3 linked regions of the Canis lupus familiaris genome follow. The protein of the gene in region 2 purifies or fractionates together with the protein of the main gene of each other region. This does not show direct contact. Links are inferred from orthologs where the notes say so. Each region holds a gene or a part of one and is shown on either strand. Other genes may lie near its edges. The genes, in order: FOXG1, TLE1 and HES1.

Region 1 (8,092 bases), on a different chromosome or scaffold from region 2:
ATAAGTATGAAAGAAGAAAAGCTTCAAAAAGTTTTGAAGTGCTTTTCTGGCATAAGCTAATTTTTAACTGGCAAAGGTTGGTGACAACAAATATCAACACAACATTACAACCAATTTGTTGCAAAAAAAAAAAAAAAACCAACAACAACAATTAAACACCATGCTAGAACACTGTACGTTTTTAAAAAAGATAACTTGAGAGATGATAGGACAGATTGAGATAAATGAAATGTTCATATCGGGCTTCAGGAGGCCTTCACAAATTTCTCTCTCTGTACATCCTCCCCCCTATCTTGTATGCGTATTCAACAAGCTATTCTTACTTCTAGTTACATCCATTATCTATGTTAACTTGGGAGATGTATCCAAATAGAACTTCCATTCCAGTCCTTAGGTCCTATGAGTTCAAAGAAGTCAATTTTATGCTTGACCTCAGAAGTTTGCCCTTGAAATTTGATTTCTCAATCATGCAAATAAACATTTATCACAAAAAAGTATACTTATTTAATATGGCCAGAAAAAAAAAAAAAAACACCTCATGGAGGAACTCTTTCTTCTGAGTCTATGTCCCTTTTACCACAATACAAGAGTTCAACTTTCTTTTTAACTTTTTGATAGGCAAAAGACTATTTCTTCTGTGGCAATACATTCTCATTCCACAAAGTCCATGGTAAAAGCAAACAATACATCATCACCTTTTTCAGTCTAAACACATGCTTTTCTTTGAGCTGTTTTGGTTCACATTTATATGAGGGGGATTTCCCTTGCCTAACCTCACTCACTTGGACTCTATTACTATTTTTAATAGTAATAAATTTGGCTTCTAAAACAACTTATTTGTGGAATTTTCTTTCATGCTTCATTCTGAAGAACTGTTACATTTCAAGAAAGCTGGACCTCTGGCGAAACTGCTCTTTTACTAAGAAAACAAAATCGTGTCCAGTCTGCTTAAAGGAGATAATTAAACTAGCTGTCTTGGTCTATTTTAGTCAATTTCCCATTTGTGTATATTTGGTTCCAGCTCTTTTAATTTTCCCCAACTTTATCTATCTTTCTCAAACAGCATCCTCTTTCTCTTTCTTTCTTTTTGGTAGTGGGAGATGCTCCCCCCCCCCATCCCCAAATATCTTTTCCTTTCTTCTGTCTTCTTCTGTCTCTCCCTTCCACAACCCATCCATCCCTATGTCCCAATATTAGAACTATTCTGCATTTCTATTTCAATCTATTTGAGTCCGCTTGCTTCTCTCCTAGGCTTTCCCCCCCCCCCCTTTTTCCTGAGCAACTCTCTAAGTGTTTGCCGATAACATCTTGGGGACAGATTATTTTTCATTGGGCCCATTGTAAGAAGTAGCCAGCTTATTGCATTACTGCAGAACACATTTCAGACTATACAATTGTAACAAATGAACAACTTGTCCTCCATAGACTCTCCACAGGATCCAATTAGTTACTAAACCTTTTACTTAGGTTTTCTAATTATTTTCTGCAGTCATAGCAATTGAGATGCTGAAACAATTCAAAAAATGTTTTCATTTTGTTTCAGATTGATATATATGCATATATACGCATGCATATGCATACTGTAAGTTAAAGCAAAATTATGACTAAGCAAAAGGAACAAACCTCTAGATTAAATTATACAGACATTTAAAAGGGAATCAAATAAATACCTCTATGTCGTAAAAATGAAAGAAAAGGAGAGAGAGGCATTTTACTTCTTCTGAACATCTAGAATTTTAAGTTGTTATAATTAAAAATAAAATATAAACATTGATCTGCAAGTCATTACAACAGGTGATCACTTCAGCAAATCTATATTGCAACTTCAGCACATCTTTATTAGAACTCTTTCATTGTGGGTAAACAGCCACAAAAATAAATGCTGACTTAGAAAGTATAAATACAAATATTTAAACAAAAATATTTGCAGCATTCATAGCGCAAATTGTACCTGAACTGAAGGGCTCTGTGTGTTTACATATATATACACACATATATATATATATCTATATATATATTACATATGTGTGCATTATATTCACTTCTATCTAACCATATACATATATTTATTTATAATTTGCCAAATGCTATAAACAAGATACCTGAAACAAAATATATAAAAAGTAAGCATTCTATCAACTGATTTGAAAATAAACACAAGGTAAAATAGCTATGCACATAAAATTATAATTTTTTTTTTTTTGCTGTATATCTACAGAAACTTGAAGATACCAGCTGAAAAGCCTGTAATTTCTTTAAAGCTAGTGCTTATCAAATAGCCTGCTCCTTGTAAAATTTGATTCCACAATGGGGAAAAAAAAAAGGTATTTTAATTTTTTTGAAGTCTCAATTCAAATGAAAGGAGCAGTTAAATTTTAGTTGGCCGAAAAAGCCTTTGAATTCCCTAGGACTTTAATGGTCTTTTAAAAATTAGCTCTATTTAATAAAAGAGACAAAAGTATCAAGATATATATGAATTTAGCCTATTTTTTATTTCTGTGTGTTCATAGTAAACATTTTTGTAAGTGACAAACACGGGCATATGACCACAGTATCACAATCAAGAAATTTTAAGACAACATTAACAATCACTCAAATTTATGCGGCATTTGCGCAACACAGGTTACATATTTGCAAGGTTTACCTATAAGTACAATAGGTATTAACATTTCACTACATTTAGAAAAAATAAAAGTGACCTGTTAGTGACCACATACATCAAAATATACACAACACAAACTGAAGGCAATCATTAATTTTGTCCCCTTCTGATTCATTTGAATGGGCAGTGCTGCCAACTGAAACAACTTTCCTTTTTTTTTTTTTTGTGGTTTTTTTTTTTTTTTTTTTTTTTAATACTTAGCATACCAAGTGCATTTTAGAACCCAATCTTTGGTCTAAAAGTAAACAAAAGAAAAAAAAACGGTTTTTTTAAAGAAAAGGACAAAACAATAAATGGCCAAAATAATTTCTTGGGCACCTTTACTACGAATGCTTCTTAAATACAAATTACAGTTTAACATTTTAAAACTCTCCCCATAATTTAGGCTGTTCTCAAGGTCTGCGTCCACCATAAAGATCCATGATAACTTATAATACTGCACACATGGAAATCTGGCGGCTCTTAGAGATAGACTTGTCAGGTTTGAATGAAATGGCAAAGCAGTCACTATTTAGATACACATTCTACTATAATTTTGACTTCCAAACCTTATATTCTACAATGTATTCTCCCCACATTGCACCTCGCTGACACTCCACACCTTGTTAGAATAATAAACAATCCTAAAGACTGAACGAACGTACAGAAATGGGGGCGGGGGGCTTAATAAAAAATACCTGGACTTATTTTTTAATTATCATTTACAATGCAAATGTGTGTAAAACGTTCACTTACAGTCTGGTCCCAGGGATGTTAATGTATTAAAGGGTTGGAAGAAGACCCCTGATTTTGATGTGTGAAATAATCAGACAGTCCCCCGGACAGTCCCGTCGTGAAGCTTGGCAAAGAGGGTCTTAAAGACTCACAGGGCAGGGTCGAGGGGGCCTGCGGAGACGTGGAGGAGGACGCGGCCCGGGCGCTCATGGACGTGCTGCTCTGCGAAGTCATTGACGGGTGCGGGACGTGGGGGAAAAAGTAACTGGTCTGGCCCGCGAGCAGGTTGACCGAGCAAGGGTTGAGGGAGTAGGTCCCGGAGCAGGGCACCGACAGGCCGCAGGGCACCGAGGCGGCGAGCGCGGCGGCCGTGAGGTGGTGCGTGGCGTACGGGATCTCCCCGTTGACCAGCCGGTCCACGCTCAGGCCGTTGGCCGTGGAGAAGGAGTGGTTGTTGCCCAGCGAGTTCTGAGTCAACACGGAGCTGTAGGGCATGGGGTGGCTGGGGTAGGCCGACGTGGTGCCGTTGTAGCTCAAAGTGCTGCTGGCGCGGGGGTGGTGCAGGGACAGGAAGGGCGACATGGGCCAGTAGAGGGAGCCGGCGCGGTCCATGAAGGTGAGGCCGGTGGAGGTGAGGCGCGCCCCGCGCTTGAAGGCCAGCTTGGCGCGCGACGTGGTGGAGCGGCGCCGCAGCTTGCCCGTGGTGCCGCCGATGAACACGTCGTCGCTCGACGGGTCCAGCATCCAGTAGTTGCCCTTGCCCGGGTCGTCGTAGTGGCGGGGCACCTTCACGAAGCACTTGTTGAGGGACAGGTTGTGGCGGATGGAGTTCTGCCAGCCCTGCTTGTTCTCGCGGTAGTAGGGGAAGTTCTTCATGATGAACTCGTAGATGCCGTTGAGCGTGAGCCGCTTCTCGGGGCTCTGCCGGATGGCCATCATGATGAGCGCGTTGTAGCTGAAGGGCGGCTTCTCGTACTTGCCGTTCTTCTTCTCGCCCTCCTTGCCCCCCTCCCCGTCCTTGCCGCCCTCGCCCGCCCCCTTCTTCTCCTCCCCCCCGGCGCCGGCGCCCTTCTCCTTCTCGTCCGGCCCGACGGGCGCCAGCTCCCCGGGCCCGCCGCCCGGCTCGCCCTTGCCGCCCAGCCCGTCCGCCTTGGCCCCGTCCAGGGCGGCGGCCGGCGGCGGCGGCGGCGGCGGCGGCGGCGGCGGGAGCAGCAGCTGCTGGGGGCCCTTGTCGTCGTCGGCTGCCGGGGCGCCCCGCGCCTGGGGGGGCTGCGGTGCCTGGGGCGGCGGCGGCGGCGGCGGCGGCGGCTGCTGCTGCGGCGGCGGCGGCGGCGGCGGCTGCGGGGCGGGCGGCGGCGGGTGGTGGTGGTGGTGGTGGTGGTGGTGGTGGTGCTGGGGGTGGTGGCTGTTGTGGTGGCCGTGACTCGCGTGGTGGTTGTCGTTCTGGACCGCCTCCGGCACCAGGCTGTTGATGCTGAACGAGGACTTGGGGATCATTTTCACCTCTTTCCTATCTCCCATGTCCAGCATCACCCAGTCGTCGGGGGGGAAGCGGCGGCGGCGGCGGCGGCGGCGGCGGCGGCGGCGGCGGCGGCGCGGGAGCGGGACAGCGGCGCGGCGGGCGGCGGCGACCGGTGGGTGCCGAGCGGGGCGCGGGCGGCGCGGGCGGCGGCGGCGGCACTGAGCGCTCCGGCAGCAGCGCAGTTGGACCGCAGGCTCCGGCGCTGGCAAGTCATGTAGCAAAAGCAGCAACCACCCCTCAGGAATTAGAAGAAAAAAAAAAAAAAAAAAAAGGGAAAAGAAAAAAAGAAAGAAAGAGAAAAAAGAAACAACCACCGCCCCGGGGGTGAAGCTCCCTCGCTCCCAACTCTACTTCTTGGTCTCCCCCCCACCCCCCGCTCCCCCCCCCTTCTGCTGCTTCCTCCTCCTCCTCCTCCTCTCGCAGCAGCAGTCACAGCAGCAGCAGCAGCAGCCCAAAGGGGGGGAGAGCCGGGCGGCGGGCGGGCGCGTCCCGGAGCGGCCGCGGCGAGGCTGGGGAGACAGCGATCGAGGCGGCTATAGCCACAATTAATTTTCCGAGCTACAGGCGCACACTAGGGCTGTAAAAAAATTTTTGGTTTAACCTTTCCTACCGCTCGGCCAATCAGAGCCGGCGGCGTGCGGGAGCGTCTCTCCCGCCGTCGACCAATCGGCGGACCCGGGCCCACCCACCCCCGCCCCGCCCGCCGGCTCCCGCCCCCTCGGCGCTCGCCTCCCCCTCGCCGCGGGCCTGGGCCTCGCGGCCGCGCGGAGCCGCGTAGGGATACGCCGCCCGGAGCACGCTGCGCCGCGGCCCTCTCGGCGCCCCCGCCACCCCCTCCGCCCTGCGGGCCGCTCCGCCGAGGTCCCCCTCTTAGGGCAGATAGCTCACATTTCCGGCTGCCTCCTCGCCGTGTCGGGCCATTTTCGTTTGAGCGTCAATGTTTGTCGTTATTGATTAAAGTTTGTATTCCATTTCATTTTTAAAAGCGGGGGCGGGGGCGGGGGCGGGGGCGGCCGCGGCGGTGGGGCGGAGAGTGTGGGAGTGCGGGGACGGGGTGCGAGGAGAGGGCAGGAAGTGGAGGAGGAAGAGGCGAGGCGCGACCGGCCCCGAGTCGGCCCTCCAGGCCCGGGGCGGCATTGCCGAGCCCGTAGGAAAACTGTGCCCCTCGTAGGTAACACCCCGGCGAGGCTTCGGAGGGCAGGGGAGGGAAGGCGAGGGAAGGCCCACCCCTGGCGTGGGGGGGCGGCGGGTCCGGCCGAGGGTCGGAGACGGAGGGATGAGGCGGAGGGAGTGGGCTGGCGAGCGCGGGGCCAAACGGGGGCTACTTACTCGGTTCCTGCGGCCGGGCGGCGGCGAGCTCGGGGCTCGGGGCTCGGGGCTCGGGGCTCGGGGCTCGGGCCCGCGGGGAAGCCGGGCCCTGGGGCTGCCGGCGCGGAGGCGGCGGCGGCGGCGGCGGCGGCGGCGGCGGCGGCGGCGGCGGGCGGGGGCGGCTCAGTGGTGGGCGCCTAGGGTAGCCTTCCGCAAGGAGGGGTGCTCAGCGAACAATACCAAACAGTCTCGAAATAAACCAGGTAACACATGCTCTGCCTCTGTGTCTCTCTCTTCCTTCCCCTCCTCTCCTGCTCCGGACCGTCGCTCACACGCTGGGTGACCCGGTGTCGCCTTCTCTCCGCCGCCCCAGCGTCTGCTCAGCTTCTAATCCGAATTGGAAGCGAGTAGCCGCGAGCGATCACCCTGGAAATGTTTCATTTTGCTTGTTGACATTGGAAGGAAAATAAGGGTGGGCGGCTATTTCTTTCTTTTTTTTTTTTTTTAAAGCCTTCCTGTTTTCACTCCCTCTTTTCTTTTTTCTTTCCGTTTCTCAAACGCTTTTGATTTGTGCGGGCCTTAATGCTGAAAGAACCGCATGCCGAAGCCAGGCCTTTCCCACCCCGAATGCGGACGGAAGGCAACTAGAAGCCCTGGGTACGTGGGTCCCACAGCCCCAGCTTCTTGGGCTTTCGAACTGGGAAGGTTCGGCTGAGGACTGAAGTGAGTGGGGAGATTGTGATTCGGGGGCTTTAAAAGGATCCCGTGGCCAGGGGCAGGGCTAAGGCCCAGCATTTCCCAGGGATTGGAATTTGGTGCGGAGCACACTGATCAAAGGCTGTTTCATCCCACATGGGTACGAAACATACCACATTTTACGGAGGATGTAGCCCTAGAGAAGAGGGAGGTGGAGGAGAAGCATAAATGAAAGGCACTTTCCCCCTCCTCTGCAAAATCATCATAAAATGTAAACATTCACGCACTCTGATAAACTATCAATTAAATTGGCGGATTTAGTATTTAAGAAAAGGAAGGGAGAAGAGGTGATGTCAAAGTTCAATTCTAATAAAAAGAATTCGGTTGATGAACACAAGAATACTCAAGTTCATATGGGGTTGTGGCACTCTCTCTCTCTCTCTCTCTGGGCACCCCACTCCCTACTTTGAAATCCTGAGGAAGAGAAAGAGAGAATAAACTCTGAATAACAGACGATTACCAATAGCTAGTGATTTTACATCTGTTAGGAATACCATAAAGAAACTTTGAACATTGGACTAACTGCATCTGTCCTTCCACTGTATGTATGTATGTATGTATGTATGTATGTATGTATCCCCCCCCTCCCATTTCTACTTATTTCCTCACTTAATCTATATTTTCATGTGGGAAAGTTGAAGGGTCCCAGCTATCAACGTTGATGGTGACAGAGCCCCAAACTGACTTCTAAGCTCCAATTTCTTACAGAGCTGGGTGAGCTAATGGGCTTTGTGGGCCGGCTGGACAGATCTGTGAGCCTTCCTCTTCTTTCTGCTCACTTTCCTCCTTTCACTCTTCCCCCTGCCTCGGGCCTGTTATTCCTACTTTTCCTCAACTCACTTTCCTCCCTCCTCCCCTCTTCCTCCCTCCTCCCCACTCACTACCCCCCCTTCTCCTCAGTCTATTCCTCTCCCTAGCTCCATTCCTCCACCTACTCCTCCCCATTTCTCCCCCTACAACCCCCCTTCTCATCACCACTTATAATGGCACACAAGGGCTCCCTCTGAGGTGGACGGCCCGGTACGTTTTCGTAGTCGGTCTAGCGTGAAATGATTCGGTGTAACCGGATTCTTGGGAAAGGACAGGTTACGTAAACATTTACTGATGTGGAGTAACTATACTATTTGTAC
Region 2 (7,729 bases):
AGAACATCTGCACTGCTATTATTTTGATTTTATAGGTAAGGAACCTGAGGTACACAGAGAGGTTAAGTCTGTTTGCCTGGCTCACACAATTGGGTGTGGGGGAGATGTGATGGGGCACAGGCATGCTGTTCTTATGTCTGTGCTCTGAACTCCTGCTCTGTGCTGGCGCCCTGCTGAATATAACAGGGTAATGTTTTACAAATGTCTTGCTCAGTTTGGGTTGGCTGCAGGTGGCTGGTGGCTTCTCTGTATGAGAAGGTGACATGGAATCTGCTGAGCATCTCAGTATCTCCCGAGACCCAGCACGGTCTGAGCCTGTCTTCCAGGAGCCTGAGATTAGTACCGAGATTTGTGGGTGGGAGGGGTGGAGGAACACCCACCAGGCACCTGACGTCAGCAGAGAAAGGCATTCATGACTCCTAGAGAATGCAGAGAGGTCACTGGGTTTCTCGAGTAGAAACCAGGATGGAATAGCAGAACTTTCACAAGATGAGTCTGAGACTGCAGTCGTCCTGGGTGACCTGTGGGGAAGTCTTGGAGGAAAGGGCAGCTGGCTGGGGTACGTGTGCATGGGACATGGTGGGGAGGGTTGCGTGCATGCGGGGAAGAGGACGAAGATGGATATTCAGAATAGCTTTTAGAGGAACGATTTTTGAAGCTCTCATCTTAGAATTCACATCAAGTGGTGCTTTGTCTTGTCTTCCACACTCCTTAAACTCTTTTTTTTTTAAATGATTTTATTTATTTAGTCGAGAGAGAGGCAGAGACACAGACAGAGGGAGAAGCAGGCTCCCTGCGGGGAGCCCAATGTGGGACTCAATCCCAGGACCCCAGGCTCATGCCCTGAGCCAAGGGCAGATGCTCAACTGAGCTACCCAGGCATCCCCACACTCCACTCATTAAATTCTAAGCTCAGTTTCAAAGTTTGGAGCTCTGTGAGAATAATAAGGTGAGGGGACCTAGAGGAAGGACAGACATAGAGACTCCTCTCTGGGTGTTGAAACTCCCCAGCCCCTCTAACGTATCCCGCCTGGTTCCCCGTAGCAATGGGGTCTGTTCTGGTCACTTCCTTGCTGGCTCCCTCCTGCCCTGCAGAACCAGGTCCAGAATCCACAAACCACCAACCCTGCGGTGGCTCAGTGTGGCCTCTCCCTCAGCAGACCCCACCTCGGGCCTAGCAGAGCCTCTTTGTGCCACAAACCCCTGTCACTTGATTGTTTCTGGTCTTGTTTTTTTGACTGAACCACAGGAGTTCTCTCTAAGAGAGAACCTTGAGCTGACCTTCAAGGCAGGGTCCTGCGGAGTGCCCATGGGTCAGCCTCAGAAGTTAGTGGTCTCTGCTCAGTGCCCCCGAATCAGGAGGATGGTATGATCCTTCATCTCTGGGAGTCCAGATTTCCTAACGCAGGGCTCTTTCTAACACAGAAAGCGAGGTTGAGTAAATATGTGAGCTCATGCTGTGTTGGCATGGAGGGCATTGCCTTGTGGACTCCCTCATGGAAAAGGGAGTGTTTCTGGGACCCTGAGCTGGTAATGTACTGATGCAGGCCGACGTCTTTCTTTACAGAATACGCTTGGGATTCTGTGTGTTTGTCCTTCTTTTTTTTTTCTTTTAACACTCAAACACTTTTCCAGACCCGGGAGGAATTTTACCTTCCAGACGGATTTGTAAGAAGAGCTACAAGAGCGCATTTAACTTCTCCTGTGTGATGACCTAAAATGGCATTCCATTTCTTTAGCACTTGGATCGTGAAAAAAGAAAAGGGAAAAAAATCTGCAGGTGCTGTTTCCTCCTCGGGGGAAGGTTAGTTTGATCTTGCACATCAGCAGACACTGAAGAGATGACACACACACCCCGCGTCCAAAACTAACAACACAACAGTGTTTACCTTGAGCTCTGGCAGGAAATCATTATTCAATCTCGTTTGTTTTATCAGGCAATTCCAGGGCCACACAGATGGGGCCAGCTGTATTGACATTTCTAACGATGGCACCAAGCTCTGGACGGGTGGCCTGGACAACACGGTCAGGTCCTGGGACCTACGCGAGGGGCGCCAGCTGCAGCAGCACGACTTCACCTCACAGGTGATGTGCTTTTCCCCACAGGAATCTCTGAAGTGGCCTGTGTGTGATGTCTTCCTCCCTTCATACCCCGTGGCAGTAATTATGAGGCAGACAGACTAGCCTTAAATTTGAGATACCCATTTAAAACAAACAATAAAAAAACCCCACAAACAAAGCCTCTGAAATGCTTAGCGTGGTTTCTAAAACTTTGTCAGTAAGACCTGTGAGTTTTACTTATATGTGAGTTCACCGCAGGAACTTGTTCAGCAAAGGACATACAGTTTGACCTGCTGTACATATTCCCATCATCTAGTGTGGGGGGTGAGAGGTCATTATTGGATCCACATATAAACAGAGCTTGAAAAATGTGCCGGGTTATCATGAGGAGTCAAGAAAAATCACAACACTCTGAAAGTTAATTCATTTCCCTTGCATAGGGGAGCTTAAAAAATGCAGCAGCATCTCAGTGGTTGCCCATTTTCTTATTCATCCCTCGGAAACTGGACTCGTGGCTGGCTAGATTTATGGAGGTTTGAAATTACAGGAAATGGCAACTTTGTGGGTCATGGAGATGAGTTAGATATCGAGTATCTGAATCTAGACTTGTTCTGGGAACAACGGTGCCATTCTAGGTGTCTTCTGACGGTGGGATTGATCTTTTGATCATTACTCGTGTATAGCTGTGCATAATTCTAAATTTTGTGTCCCTGTTAATCTTGTGGGGAGTCTCTTAGAGTCTTCTCATTCCAGCCCTTTTCTCGGCATGAGTTAGGCTACTGTTTTTGGTCTGCCTTTTAAAAAAAAATAACTTCTTATGGAAAATTTCAGATATATACAAGTGGAGAGAATGTCCTAGCATATGGAAGTAAGAGAAGTATCCGATAAACCCCATTTGCTCATTACTCAGCTTTACAGCTGCAAACCCATAACTGGTCTCATGTATCATCCCTGCCCCCCAAACACTGGATTGTTTTAATGTAAATCCCAGACCTCGTGTCATTTCATCCATAAGCATTTCAGGGAGTATCTGCAAAGGATAAGCACCACGTGAAAACATACACACAGATGTCATTATTAGTAAGACTCATTTCTTGGGGCACCTGGCCAGAAGAGCATGTGGCTCTTGATCTCGGGGTCGTGAGTTTGAGCCCCACATTGGGGGTAGAGATTATTTAAGTATGTAAACTTAAAAAAATACTTTTTAAAAAATAATTTCATTCCGTGTGATGTATGTATTCCAAGTTTTCTGATTGTTTTCATAAAGGTTTTTAACACATAGTGTGTCTGTGTTGGGTCTCTTGTCCCATGGACTGTACTACAGACTGGAGTTTGCTGAATTGCATCTCCTCTTCTTTGCTAATTTACCCCCATTTCTTGTTGCCATTTTACTTCTCAGTTTATTGGGCAAAATCACTAGTGAGCCTGTTCTGCTTCCTACAGATCTTCTCCCTTGGATACTGCCCAACTGGGGAGTGGCTGGCCGTGGGCATGGAGAGTAGCAATGTGGAAGTTCTTCATGTAAATAAGCCTGACAAGTACCAGCTGCATCTCCATGAGAGCTGCGTGCTGTCCCTAAAATTTGCTTATTGTGGTGAGTGGAGCTGAAAGGAAACTGGAGGATGCCAGTGGCCTCAATAGAAAATACTTCTAAAAAAATACAGTGGAGATCATGTCTGGAAAAAATGTTCTCTGAGCAGCTGGATGCAATAATTCTATTGTCTTAATATGTCCCTCAGAGCATAGTGATGTCCGTTTCAACCCATTTTCCTAATATGAGAAAAGTCAGTAGGTAATGCTTGCAAGGTTTTGACAGATTTTTTTATTATTATTGTTATCATTATTATTATTATCATCATTATCATTATTATTTAGCGGGGGAGTCTGGGGCCGAGGTGGAGGGCAGTTAGTTACCACTCTAACGCGGGGAGGAACTTACAGAAGCCTGGGGCAGGCACACTGGAAGTCACTTTGGATTGAGCAGGATAGGGAATGAGGATCAGAGAAGGGATTATTTAGCTTCCCCCACACGGTTATATGCTGCAATGAAGAAGAGGGAAGAAGTTCATGTGGAGTCGGATTATTTGTTCTTGGAGCGGACTGAGGGATGAGTGGCCATTATCACTGAGCACATTCCATGTGCCATATATTCGTGTCTGGCATTTTACTCAAGTTCATCATTTAATCCTTCCTAGACCCATTTCATCATGAGGGAAGTGATGAAAAGGACAGTAGCTTCATCATCTCACTATTTGAGGACCCACTGTGTGCTGAGTGTTCCGAAGTGTATCTGGTGGCTCATGGGGCTGACACAGTCCCTGCCGCTTTGATAAAACCCAAGACCACAGGTGGTTCACGGTGGAGCCCAGATTTAAAACCTGATCTCTCCCCTCACGTCCCAGCCAAAGCCATTGCACATGATAGTTCATGATTAGAAATGCTCTGAGTTTGTTTTAGTCTGGGTTGCTAATAGTATAGTAGGTATTTTAATCTTGCTAAACCCCATATTCCTTTGCTGACTCTAGGTAAATGGTTTGTGAGTACTGGCAAGGACAACCTTCTCAATGCTTGGCGGACCCCCTACGGAGCTAGTATATTCCAGGTGGGTCAGTGCCCCTTCCAGGAATGGCAGTTTGATGAGGGCATTCTCCATGACTCCAGAAGTGAAGGTGCCTGGGGGAGGAGCAGGGTCTCTGAGCATCGCCATTCACAGAAAATCTTTGCCCCTTGTTTTCTCTTCCAGTCCAAAGAGTCCTCATCTGTGCTTAGCTGTGACATCTCAGTGGATGATAAGTACATAGTCACTGGCTCAGGAGACAAGAAGGCTACAGTCTACGAAGTCATCTACTGAAAACATGGGTTTAACGTTTATAGTTGAATCGGGCCAAAATGTTTTGAATTTGTAGAAATAGAAAAGTTGTAACTTTAAAAGGAAAAAAAAAAACCACCATGAAAACCTGTTTCCAAACCTTGACACAAAACTATTTTGAGTCTACAAAGAGGAGGCAACGAGTCCCATCAACTGAAGGTCACCGATCTACCTAGACCAAACGGACACCGAGGCAGAGTGGACAGAGGGGCCAAGGGCTGTAGGCAGAGCCTGTACTTTCCTTTCTGTGTGATCTGCCTAGATTACCTTTCTGTTCCTTGCAGTTCCCCTCACGTTCTGTGCTTGGTAGAGCAGTGGTGTCTCCAATGAACTTGTTTCCTGGTTTTGCATCTTGTGAAATGTTTTTTTGTATTTTTGTTGAAGGTTAAACATTTGTATAAATTGTAAATATATTTGGTTTATTACAGTAAAGGCTTTAGTACCAATAAGTGGTTTTCCCTTTCCTTCTTTTCTGTTTCTATCAAAGCTTTGGGATCATTAATGTAGATTTTATCAGCAAAGTCCACACATTTGCAGAGGATGTTTAAAAATGCACTTTTGAATTTGCCAATATATTTGCCATGGCACCTGATCAACACTTCTGAGTTCCTGGGAACTCAAGACTAGGAATAGTCAGTCCTTGAAGGTTTGCTAGTGACACTTTTATTTGGGAAGCTAAAATAACTTCATCAGGATTCATGTTTCCTTTTTTAAGATACGCTTGTGATTGGAGGTCACAAATTAAAACTCTGCTTTTTCCTGGTGATTCATAGGGAGACAGAATATTCTCTAGGAAAGGCCATCTTCAAATCTTTCTTGGCACATCTCGAGGCTTGTGGGGTGACTTGTGTCTAGTGTTATGATCAATGATGTTCACAAAGCTGTGGAATTCGTTAACCTGTAAAAGAAAGATGGGATGCCAACTGGTTTTGTCTCTTTAATATTTATTTAATCTATTATATGGATTGACTTAAGCCAGTCACACCCAGCACTCAGCCCCATTCTTCTCATTAAGGCTTTCCCCTCAGCTTCTAGCCATTGTGATCTCTCATTAGTCTGGTCTTGCTCTTGGTGGACAAGCTTTTATTAATTTGATTAGATGAAACCTTAACGTTGGCCATGCATGTTTCCTCCTGAAAAGGCTACGTGGCTCACTTCTTCGTATACCTATTATTTGCTGTTATATTTTAGAAAAGAACGGTTAATATTTTTAAGCCAAGTTTCCTGGCTATTTAAAAATAGCACCTAAGGAATTTTTAATGTTCTTGTTTTCTTAGGATCCAGCAAGTTGTTGGCAGTTTGTCTTAATATTTTTCATTTGTTATCCAGACCTTCTTGTTTTTATACATTTAACAACGTTATTTTGTTTGCCTTTTGCCAAAATAATATTTGTGTATGCTGAGAGTTTGTTAAATATTTTCTCTTCTCATTAAGAGAATGGCAAAGCCCTAATTACGGAAGCTGATTTCTCTCATCCCTCCCCTGTATAATGAAGCATGTTTCTGTACTACATATGCTGATGGCTTATTAATGTAGTATTTATCTTTTCTGTTGTCTCTTCTTACCTGACTTCCCTATTTTCTATAATAGGAGGGAAGCACTTAAGTTGCTAGAACAGAGACCCCCAATGCAGTGGCTTAGAGACCACGGGAGTTTGTGACTTCCCCTAGAGACCTGAGCCAGTGGTGCAGCGCTGTGCTTTCATGCTGGCTTCTGTTGCCCCCACTCCCAGCCAGCAGTGGGGAAAGTTAAAGTCCAGGGGACAGATAACCTTTCAAGCAGATGACTTAAGAGTCTGTTCATTATTCCTAATTGGCTAGAACTCAGTCACGTGGGAGACTGGGAAAAGGGATGTCTTGCTTGCTGTGCAGCTAGCTGTGTGCCCATTAAGAAGATGGGGTTTTGAAAGGACTCTAGGTTAAAGAAATAGCCCTGTTTTCTCTTGGTGCATTTTTTTCCTTCCATGCTTTCTTGTTTCTCAAGCTTCGGATATTCTTTCTCTAGTTATATTTTCTGAGGGTGTAGACCTTACAACTCCTCAATTACCGTGAATCTAATGAAACCGTCTCCATTTGCTAGTGTGGTGCTGAAAGAGGCATCTTAGCGCAAGTCCTGCTCCTCTGCTCAGGGTGTTTGGAATCTTGGGGAATTGCCAAGACAATTGTTTCCCTCCTTGTAAAATGGGAATGATACAATAGTTGTGCCTGCCCCTCTGAGTCTAGGGGATCAAAAGCAGGACTGAGTGGCAGCTCTCTCACAATTGGAGGATGTGAGTGGGAAAGCAATTTTTTCCTAAACTGAAATTAGGAGTCATGCTGCTGTCCCCAAGGAGTCTGGAATCATGGGATTGTTGAAACCCTGGTAAGCCAAAAGTTAGTATACTCCATGCTTTGAATATGGATTACAAATTCAGGTTTAATAAATTCAAATTCAACTAGATATTGGTCACCTCTATGTGCCAAAAATGGTACTAGGCAGTTTCACCCATAAACACATTCGGAGATGATTGTCATTATCCCTAAATGTATTTAATTCTGTTTTTTTTTTTAAGCACTTGCAGTCTTTGCACCTTGAATGTAGGTTTCTGCCATCTGGCTCTTCCATGGAATTGAAGTTTACTGGGTAAAAATTGAAATCCTAGTGAGATTAGATTTGGAATGTCTTTTTGTAAAACTAGATGTTTCTAGCACTCCTAATAAGGATAAAATATTTCATCAATATGATAATTAGCATTTTTTTAAGGTTGTGCTATTTGCCAGGTGATAGGGAAGTGTTTGACATAAATTATAATCTTCACAG
Region 3 (8,092 bases), on a different chromosome or scaffold from region 2:
ACAGCCCAGCGCCTCCCCTCCCCCCCACCCCCGTGGCCCAGCGCCTCCCCCCACCTGCCCCCTTCACCGGGCCCAGCGCCCCTCCCCGCCCCCAGGGAGGTGGCCCGGACAGCAGGGGGCCTGGGCCCTGAGGGCCTCCATTGACAGGGTAATGCACTGGGTGGCCTCCCGGGCGGCCCGCATCCGGACACGGGGCTGGGAGCTGGGCCGCTGGGCCTTATCTCCGGGAACCATCGGGACAGCCTGGGGGGGGGGGGCGGACAGGGGCCGCGGGGTGTGCCCCGAGGTCGTAAAACCAGGCCAGACCGGAGTGGGGGTGGCTGGCCAAAGTCGCAGTTGTCTTTGAAGCTTCACCACCCCCACCCCGCCACCCCAACTAATTACTCCAGAAACAGCCTGGGTGCAGGAGGGCACAAGGTCTTCGAAATAAACCCACTCATTTTACGGACCTGGAAATGTCCCAGATAAGGGAAGTGACTCATCCAAAGTGACACAGCCAGTTCAGTGGTGCAGCTGGCACAGGAGCCTGAAAGTTCCCATTGGGGCCTAGGGTGTCACCCTTCTCTCCACATTGTATGGAAACAAATGCCTCCTCTAAGAGTCTAGACCCAAATTCCAAGAAAAAAATAAAAAAGACAATTTTCAAATTATCAGAAGAGCAAATATTTACTTCTTTTCCTTAAATTTATTACTTCCTCCCCCAAGAAATTTATGTAGTTTTGATGAATAGAATTAACTTTAATTAATTTAAAGTTGGTGTAGAGATTCCGCTGTGTGTGTGTGCGCGCGTGCATGCACGGGTGTGTGGCTTCTTAAAGAACATAAATGTATTTTTATAAAAAGGAGACCCTGATGTCTCCATTATTTATGCCAGGACAGTTCAGGACTTCTAGGGCTCCTGAGGACAGGTTTACCAAATGCAGCACTCAGGCTTGTGTTCGATGTCTTAATAGAGCAATTGCTATTTTGTTTGTGTTCAAACAAGAGAGAAATCATGGAAAAATGGTACAATAAAGCAGGGTGTGTGTACATGTGCGTGTATTTCTCGGGGGGTGGGTGTTGGACACCTTTCACATAATGAGGCAAGTAGGGGCCAAATTTAAAAAAAATATCTTTGAAAACTCTCCCTCTGCGTCCAAAGCTGGGTCGGTCGAAGGTATTTGGGTAGAAAAGTGCTGTCTGCTGGCTAGATCATTCCCGCGATACGGCCGCTCTCCACGCTGGCCTGTGGGAAAGGCTGGAGCAAGGCGGGGGAGAGGTAAAGCTTTTGAAACAAGACAGAAAATCGTTGGCTTTATCTTTGTTAGGAAGGCTTCAAAGATTGATTTCTCCCGCCTCATCCTTCTCCTCCCAGAAGCCGTTCTAAAAGAAGGGGGATGAGAGGAGGCTGGCGGGAGGGGCCGGGCAGGGAGGAGGACTGGCCGGCGGTGGGGGAGGAGGGCGCGCCCGCCAGACCCACAGCGCGGCTGATGTGTCTGGTCTCGCAGGGCTCGTGGTTTTCATTTCCCCAACACCTGGATGCAGTCAAACACCTGGCCAAATCTGACAAAATCTGACAAGCCTTTGTGATGGGATTTGGAAGAAATTCCCTGCAGATCCTGGCACAGTTTAAAGCTGTCCGCTTTGAGTTAGGACTTGTTAAGGAGGGTTATGTGAGCTGAAACCCGAGACAACCCTTTTGCTTCTATCTGGAGCCCACATCTTGCCTGGAAATGGGGCATGACCAAGCGAAGGGGTCGCTTGCTGTTTGTATTAAAGGGAAGATGGCCTGTGTGCCTGCCAGCGCGGCCCCCACATGCTTTCTCTATTAGAGCCAAGCGCAGAAACTTATCAAAAACATATGTCTGGTGTTAATCATCTGGACTTGGGCTCCACTTGGGAGTCTAACTAGCTGTCCCCTGGCAGAAGGAATCTGTTGACCTTCTCAGCTTGCTTGAAGAGGGTGCAGAGAGGCATTTTCAAACTTTTGGATGCCGGTACAAGGGACTGCGCAGCTAGCTGCACCTATGTACTAAGTAAACGGGCTCCAACGTTTGAGGGCCAGAGGCTGCATCCGTTTCCTTTGGATGTCGGGGTGCGACCCCAGGGAAGCGGCGCCACGGGGGTCTCACTTACTGTGTGGTGGGCACGCATTACTCGATTGATTGACTTCAGTCTGGTTCAACCTTCTTCAGAAGGAGCTGTAAGGAAAACCAGGACTGAATGATATACCCAACTGCAACTAAAAAAAAAAAATAAATAATAATAATTGAAATCCTATTTAAGAGATTGACCTCAAATTGATCAGAGTAGCCATATTAGACGGGTTCTTGCAAATTAAGTGGAATTTACTTCATGGAGGCCGGTAAAAGGTCTGCTGGATTTTTTAAAATGTTCTTTTAATAACAAAAGAGCCAATGACTGAATTCTCAGATTACATGTAATCCACAAATTCTGCCAAGAGCTTTTTTTTCTTTTTTACATATATACCGAAATAATCAGTTCTAAGACATAGGAGCCTTCACTCTTTTTTCTTTTATTATATTTTCTCAAATAAACTTCCCAAAGGGAAGATATTTTAAGAGCATTTTCAAACATCTTTGGCATCACATAAAAAAAGAAATCTCGTGTAAAAAACGAAATGTCATCTGAGTTTTTTTTATAATACAAAGGCGCAATCCAATATGAACATATAAAATATATACAAATATAGTGCATGGTCAGTCACTTAATACAGCTCTCTACAAAAAAAAGTAACTTTTTAGGAATTAAAAAAAAGAAACAAAGTAACCACTTGATCATTACAGTCCTCTGGTCTCCCAGTGTCCAAGTTCCTGTTGAGTGTCCCCGGGGCGGGGCGGGGCAGGGCAGGGCAGGGGAGGGTGCCCGGGCCTTCAGTTCCTCCAGGGCCGCCACATGGAGTCCGCCGTGAGCGAGGGGCCGCTGGAGGGCGAGCCGGCGCCGGGGCCCACGGAGGCGCCGCCGCCGCTGGTGTAGACGGGGATGACCGGGCCGCTGTGGGCGAAGGCCCCGCTGGGGATGAGGAAGGCGAACTGGCCGTCGGGCGCCGGCAGCACCTGGAAGCCGCCGAACACCTTGGCGGCCTCCCCGGCCGGGCTGCCCAGCTTGCAGGGCGCACCGCCGGGAGGGGGCGCCGCGCCCCCGGGGATGGGCACGAGCGGCGGGGGCGGCGCGAACGGCGCGTGCTGCGGGCCTCCGGGGCCGGGCGGGGGCGGCGGCGGCGCCTGCAGGGCGGGGTGCGGCTGCCCCGGGTAGGTCATGGCGTTGATCTGGGTCATGCAGTTGGCCAGGTGGCCGAGCAGCCGCGTGCGCACCTCGGTGTTGACGCCCTCGCACGTGGACAGGAAGCGGGTCACCTCGTTCATACACTCGCTGAAGCCGGCGCGGTACTTGCCCAGCACGCTCGGGTCTGTGCTCAGCGCGGCTGCGGGCAGAGGGGGCGCGCGGGTCACCCGAGGCCCCGGCCCGCCCCGCCCGGACCACCCGGTGGGGAGGGGAGGGGGAGGGGGAGGGGGAGGGGGCCCTGCACCTCTGCTCCCGCCCCCGCGCTAGTGACCTTGGGCAGCGCCCTTCCCCCTCCGCGCCGCCCGGGCCTGGCTCCTGCAGGGCGGGGGGGGGGAGGGGGCGGCCAGGGGACCCCAGGCTGCGCGCCCCGCGCCCCCCTGCCCGCCGGCCCGCGCCCCCCCTCTCCGGAACACTAACAACTTGGAGCCGCGGCTATAAATAAGCCCAGACCGTGGGAACGCGGGGCTGAGCCAAGGCAGTAAAACGCAGCTGAATGCCTCTCTCCACCGCGGGCGGAAGTCTGGGAGGGGTCGCCGCGGGGCGCACGGGGCGCCCCCAGGGGACGCGCAGCCGCCTCACCCGTCATCTGCGCCCGCTGCAGGTTCCGGAGGTGCTTCACTGTCATTTCCAGAATGTCCGCCTTCTCCAGCTTGGAATGCCGCGAGCTCTGCACACAGCAGGAGGCAAGGCACGGACGTGAGGGCCCCGCCGGCGGCCCCGAGACCCGGGGTCACCCCCTCCGGAAGCGCCGAGACCTGGGGTCGCCCCGCCGGAGGCCCCGAGGCCTGGGGTCACCCCCAACGGCGGCCCCAACACCTGGGGTCACCCCCAACAGCGGCCCCGAGACCTGGGGTCACCCCGCCGGCGGCCCCGACACATGTGGACTCCCCGCCGGCAGCCCCGAGACCTGGGGTCACCCCCAACGGCAGCCCCGAGACCTGGGGTTCCCCCCGCTTGCCGCGGCCCCGACACCTGGGATTCCCCTCCCCGCCCCCCGACATCCCCAGACCCTGGAGGGGCCCGGCCTCCGGCCCCGAGACCGCAGTGCGGGCGGGGACGATCCCGCCAGCGAGGGGGGTTCGCGCTCAGTAGCCCAGAAATGGGATTTCATTTTAATTGAAAGAGAAAAAAGAAAAAAAAAAAAAAAGGCAGCATTACCCACTTACATCTTTCTTAAGAGCATCCAAAATCAGTGTTTTCAGCTGGCTCAGACTTTCATTTATCCTTGCTCTTCGTCTTTTCTCCATGATAGGCTTGGATGACTGCAAAGAAATTATATATATATATTTTTTTTTTACAAAGCGCCCCGAGTTCCCCCTGGGATCTGCCGCTTCACCCCGGGGTTAGGAGAAGGGAGCCCCCCCGCCCCCCACGCCCGACCTGGGTCTCGGGGCTGCAGGGAGAGCGGCGCTGCCCTTACCTTTCTGTGCTCGGATGCTGTCTTTGGTTTATCCGGTGTCGTGTTGACACTGGCCGGGGTAGCAGCCACCGGGGACGAGGAATTTTTCTCCATTATATCAGCTGGCATTTTCTGTTGCTTTTTTTTTTTTTTCCCCAAGTCCCTAGAGAATTTTATTTTTGGAGTCCTTCACACACACACACACACAGAAAAAATTGCTTTGTTTATGTCCCTTTCACTGGAGGCCTCCGCAGGACGACTGAGCAAGTGCTGGGGGTTTATGGTACAGTCTTAGGGCCACTCGGCGGCCGGCAGCGCTATTCCAGGACCAAGGAGAGAGGTAGACGGGGGATCCCACTGTTATCTGCACCGGCTCCGGATCCTGTGTGATCCCCAGGCCCTGGCGGCCTCTATATATATCTGGGACTGCACGCGAACGGCTCGTGTGAAACTTCCCAAACTTTCTTTCCCACAGTAACTTTCAGCCAATGGGAGGAGGAGACACGCGGCACCGCTCGTGGGCCGCGCCCCCCCATTGGCCGCCGGGCACAAGGCCTGGCGGCCAATGGCGCGCGCCTGAGCCCGGGGCACCGGAGGCTACAACGTCAATCAAAAGGATTTTAACCCTTTGCTATTCTCCCCGCTGGGCTTTGCTTTAGAGGGGATTTTTCCGCAGGTTTCGCCCCAGTCTAATTTATTTCTTTTAGGGCCAGAGTCTCTGCTCTTTATTCCCTTCCACGTGTAGCATAGAGCTGCTCTGGCACTAATAAGAACTTCATTTGCAATATATATATATATATATATAATTTTTTAAAGGGTTTAGAAGGACAGGGAGGAAAGAGGAGACCGTGTGCAAGGGTGTGAGTTACCGAAACATTCAACTGAGTCACCCCTGAGACACTACACATCGGGGCGAGGAGGGAGATGTAAAATCGATCATGCAGAAAAGAGGCAAAAATATCTATATTTGTTTTGCATACGTTAAAAGGAAAAGGTGCCTCCCACCTTACGTGAGCGAGTTTCCAGAGCAAGATGTTTTTATTTTTTTGCAACTTCCCCCCCCCCCCCCTCCCCCCCCCCCCCGCCCCTCGCGCGCCCCTCATTCCTCTTCTGCACTTGGGGCCTTGGATCCCGCGCTTCCCCAGGAAACAATCAGAATAATTTCCAACCGGGCAGAAAGGAAATGGAATTTCAAATGAAAGATGAACAAGAGGGGCTTTGATGGCGGGGCCCCAGGCCCGCGCGCGCGCCCTCGCCCTGCGTCCCCTCCCGCCCACGGGCTCCCGGGCGGCGGCCTCCCCTCCCCGCCCCTCCCCTCCCCGCCCCTCCCCCGGCGGCCCCCGGCGCGCGCGGGCCCTTTAAGAGCCGCCGCCGCCGCGCCGCGGTTGACATCAGCCGGCCGGGAGGGCGCGCCCGGGGCCGGAGCACGTGCCAGGATGTTTTATTGCGGCGGCGGCTGCGGCCGGGCCGGAGGATGTGTGTGTGCGTGCGTGTGTGAGTGCGTGTGCGAGCGCGAGCGCGAGGGCGAGTGCGCGCCGGGGGGCCGGGAGGGCAGGAGCAGCTGCTGCGCCCGAGCCTGGGAAAACCCCGCCCCTGCGCCCGGCGGGCTCGTCGGCGCGCGCGGCGGCGGGGGTGCGTGTGTCCGGGCGGGGCGGGAGGGAGGGGAGGGGCGGGGCGGGCCAAGGTCGGCCTTCCGGGCGGGGGCGGCGGGCTCACCCCACTCACCCCCCCGCACCCCGACCCGGGCTGGGGCTTCCAGGCGGAGGGAGGCGGGGGCGGGCGCTCCTGGTGGCTCCCCTCCCCCTCCCCTCCCGGCCCGCCTCCCCCCTCCCCGCCCCCCCCCGCGGGGCCCCGGCGCCCGCCGCGGTCACGAGATGCCTGACCGCACTTAGGAAGCGGCCGGGCGGCCTCCTGCCTCCGCTCGGCGGCTGCGGTCACCGCGGCTTCGCGCCCCCGCCCCCGCCCCCCCCCCCCCCGCCCGGCGGCTCCCCCTCGCTGCGCCCCGGAGGCCCGGGAGGCGGCCGGCGGGCGGCCGGGAGGAGGCGGGCGGCGCGGGCGGCGGCTGCGTGCTGCCGGCTGGCCGGGCCGCGCGCCGGGAGGAGCCGCCGCCGCCGCCGCCGGGTGCCACGTGGCGGGGCGCCGGGCCGGGAGCGCCGGGGCTCTGCGGCCGCCTCCCCGGGGACCTGCCTGCCGCGCGGCCCGGCGGCGCGCTCTGCCCCCGACGCCCCCCGCGCCCCGGACGCCCCCGCGCCCCCCACCCCCGCCACCCTGCCGGCGCCCGGGTCCCCTGCGCGCACCCGCGCCCCCCATCCCCTTCACCCCGCGAGCCCCCCCACCCCCGGGCCCCCTCCTCCCCGCGAGCCCTCCACCCCCGGGCCCCCTCCGCCCCGTGCGCCCCCCCACCCCCGGGCCCCCTCCGCCCCGTGCGCCCCCCACCCCCGGGCCCCCTCCACCCGCGAGCCCTCCACCCCGGGCCCCCTCCGCCCCCGCGAGCCCCTCCACCCCGCGAGCCCCTCCAACCCCCCAAGCCCCCTCCGCCCCGTGCGCCCCCCACCCCGGGCCCCCTCCTCCCCGCGAGCCCCCCACCCCCTACCCCCCACCCCCTCCACCCTGCGCGCCCCCCGCCCCCGTGCCCGCCTCCTCCACCCTGCCCGCGCCCCCGCCCCCCACCCTTGCGTCCCCGCCCCCGCGGGCTCGGCGCGCTGCTCGGACGCTGGGGGGCCCGGGAGCCGGCGTCGCGTTTGCTGGCGCTCCCCCCCCCCCCCCCCCCAGCCCCGCCGCAGGCCTGGAGGCCGCCGGAGGCCTGGCACACGGTTCCCAGACACTTCATTCCTTCCTTCCTCCGAGCTCCCCGCTGAGATAATGTTGTAAACGCTCCCACCGCTCCCGCCCGGCCGAGCAGCCTCAGTCTCAGCGGCCCGACTCGGGACCTCCGCGAGGCCCCCTCCCCCGCGCGCAGCGCCCGCTCCGTGCCAGGCGCCGAGTTGGGCCCCGGGTTACCGGCAGGCGGGTGCCCTGGCCGGCGGCGAGGAGGAGCTTGACTTTCCGATGACCGGGCCTGCCCCTGTACTCCTCCCGGGGCCCGGGTGGTGGCCTGCGGGGTCAGGGGAGCCTAAGGAGGCCCTAAACACTCGCATGGGCGCTCTTGCCCGGGGACCCCCAGGAGGCCTGCAGCGCCCAGACCCCACGCTCTCCAGCGCGGCCGGCGACTCTTTCACACGACAGGCCTCTCGCAGGTTCAGGAGAGACCTGTGTGCTCCAGACAGAAGTAAGGTGCTCCGGAGGTCTAGGATGAGTCCAGTGCTAATAAGTGGGTGCATCCTGGAATGTTTCCAGGAGGGGATCTTGAAACATAGGTAGGATTGGGCCCCTGGAAATGTGGGTCATGGGGCTAGGGGGTGGGATGGG

The links.
Region 1: the proteins of TLE1 (region 2) and FOXG1 purify together in Homo sapiens (affinity purification with western blotting; 3 studies listed by BioGRID and IntAct, with this or other methods). This does not show direct contact. The link is inferred for Canis lupus familiaris from reciprocal best matches to the Homo sapiens genes TLE1 and FOXG1.
Region 3: the proteins of TLE1 (region 2) and HES1 purify together in Homo sapiens (affinity purification with western blotting; 4 studies listed by BioGRID and IntAct, with this or other methods). This does not show direct contact. The link is inferred for Canis lupus familiaris from reciprocal best matches to the Homo sapiens genes TLE1 and HES1.

The regions. Positions count from the first base shown.
Region 1 is NC_049229.1:8,411,344-8,419,435, reverse strand, and holds FOXG1 (forkhead box protein G1), read right to left. Parts: upstream 4,936-8,092; 5' UTR 4,907-4,935; coding exon 3,416-4,906; 3' UTR 2,472-3,415; downstream 1-2,471. UniProt on the Homo sapiens protein: Transcription repression factor which plays an important role in the establishment of the regional subdivision of the developing brain and in the development of the telencephalon.
Region 2 is NC_049222.1:78,254,793-78,262,521, forward strand, and holds the end of TLE1 (transducin-like enhancer protein 1), read left to right. Parts: intron 1-1,937; coding exon 1,938-2,085; intron 2,086-3,504; coding exon 3,505-3,655; intron 3,656-4,586; coding exon 4,587-4,663; intron 4,664-4,804; coding exon 4,805-4,912; 3' UTR 4,913-5,379; downstream 5,380-7,729. UniProt on the Homo sapiens protein: Transcriptional corepressor that binds to a number of transcription factors. Inhibits NF-kappa-B-regulated gene expression. Inhibits the transcriptional activation mediated by FOXA2, and by CTNNB1 and TCF family members in Wnt signaling.
Region 3 is NC_049244.1:53,004,847-53,012,938, reverse strand, and holds HES1 (transcription factor HES-1), read right to left. Parts: upstream 5,131-8,092; 5' UTR 4,814-5,130; coding exon 4,706-4,813; intron 4,548-4,705; coding exon 4,452-4,547; intron 3,953-4,451; coding exon 3,865-3,952; intron 3,425-3,864; coding exon 2,874-3,424; 3' UTR 2,492-2,873; downstream 1-2,491. UniProt on the Homo sapiens protein: Transcriptional repressor of genes that require a bHLH protein for their transcription. May act as a negative regulator of myogenesis by inhibiting the functions of MYOD1 and ASH1.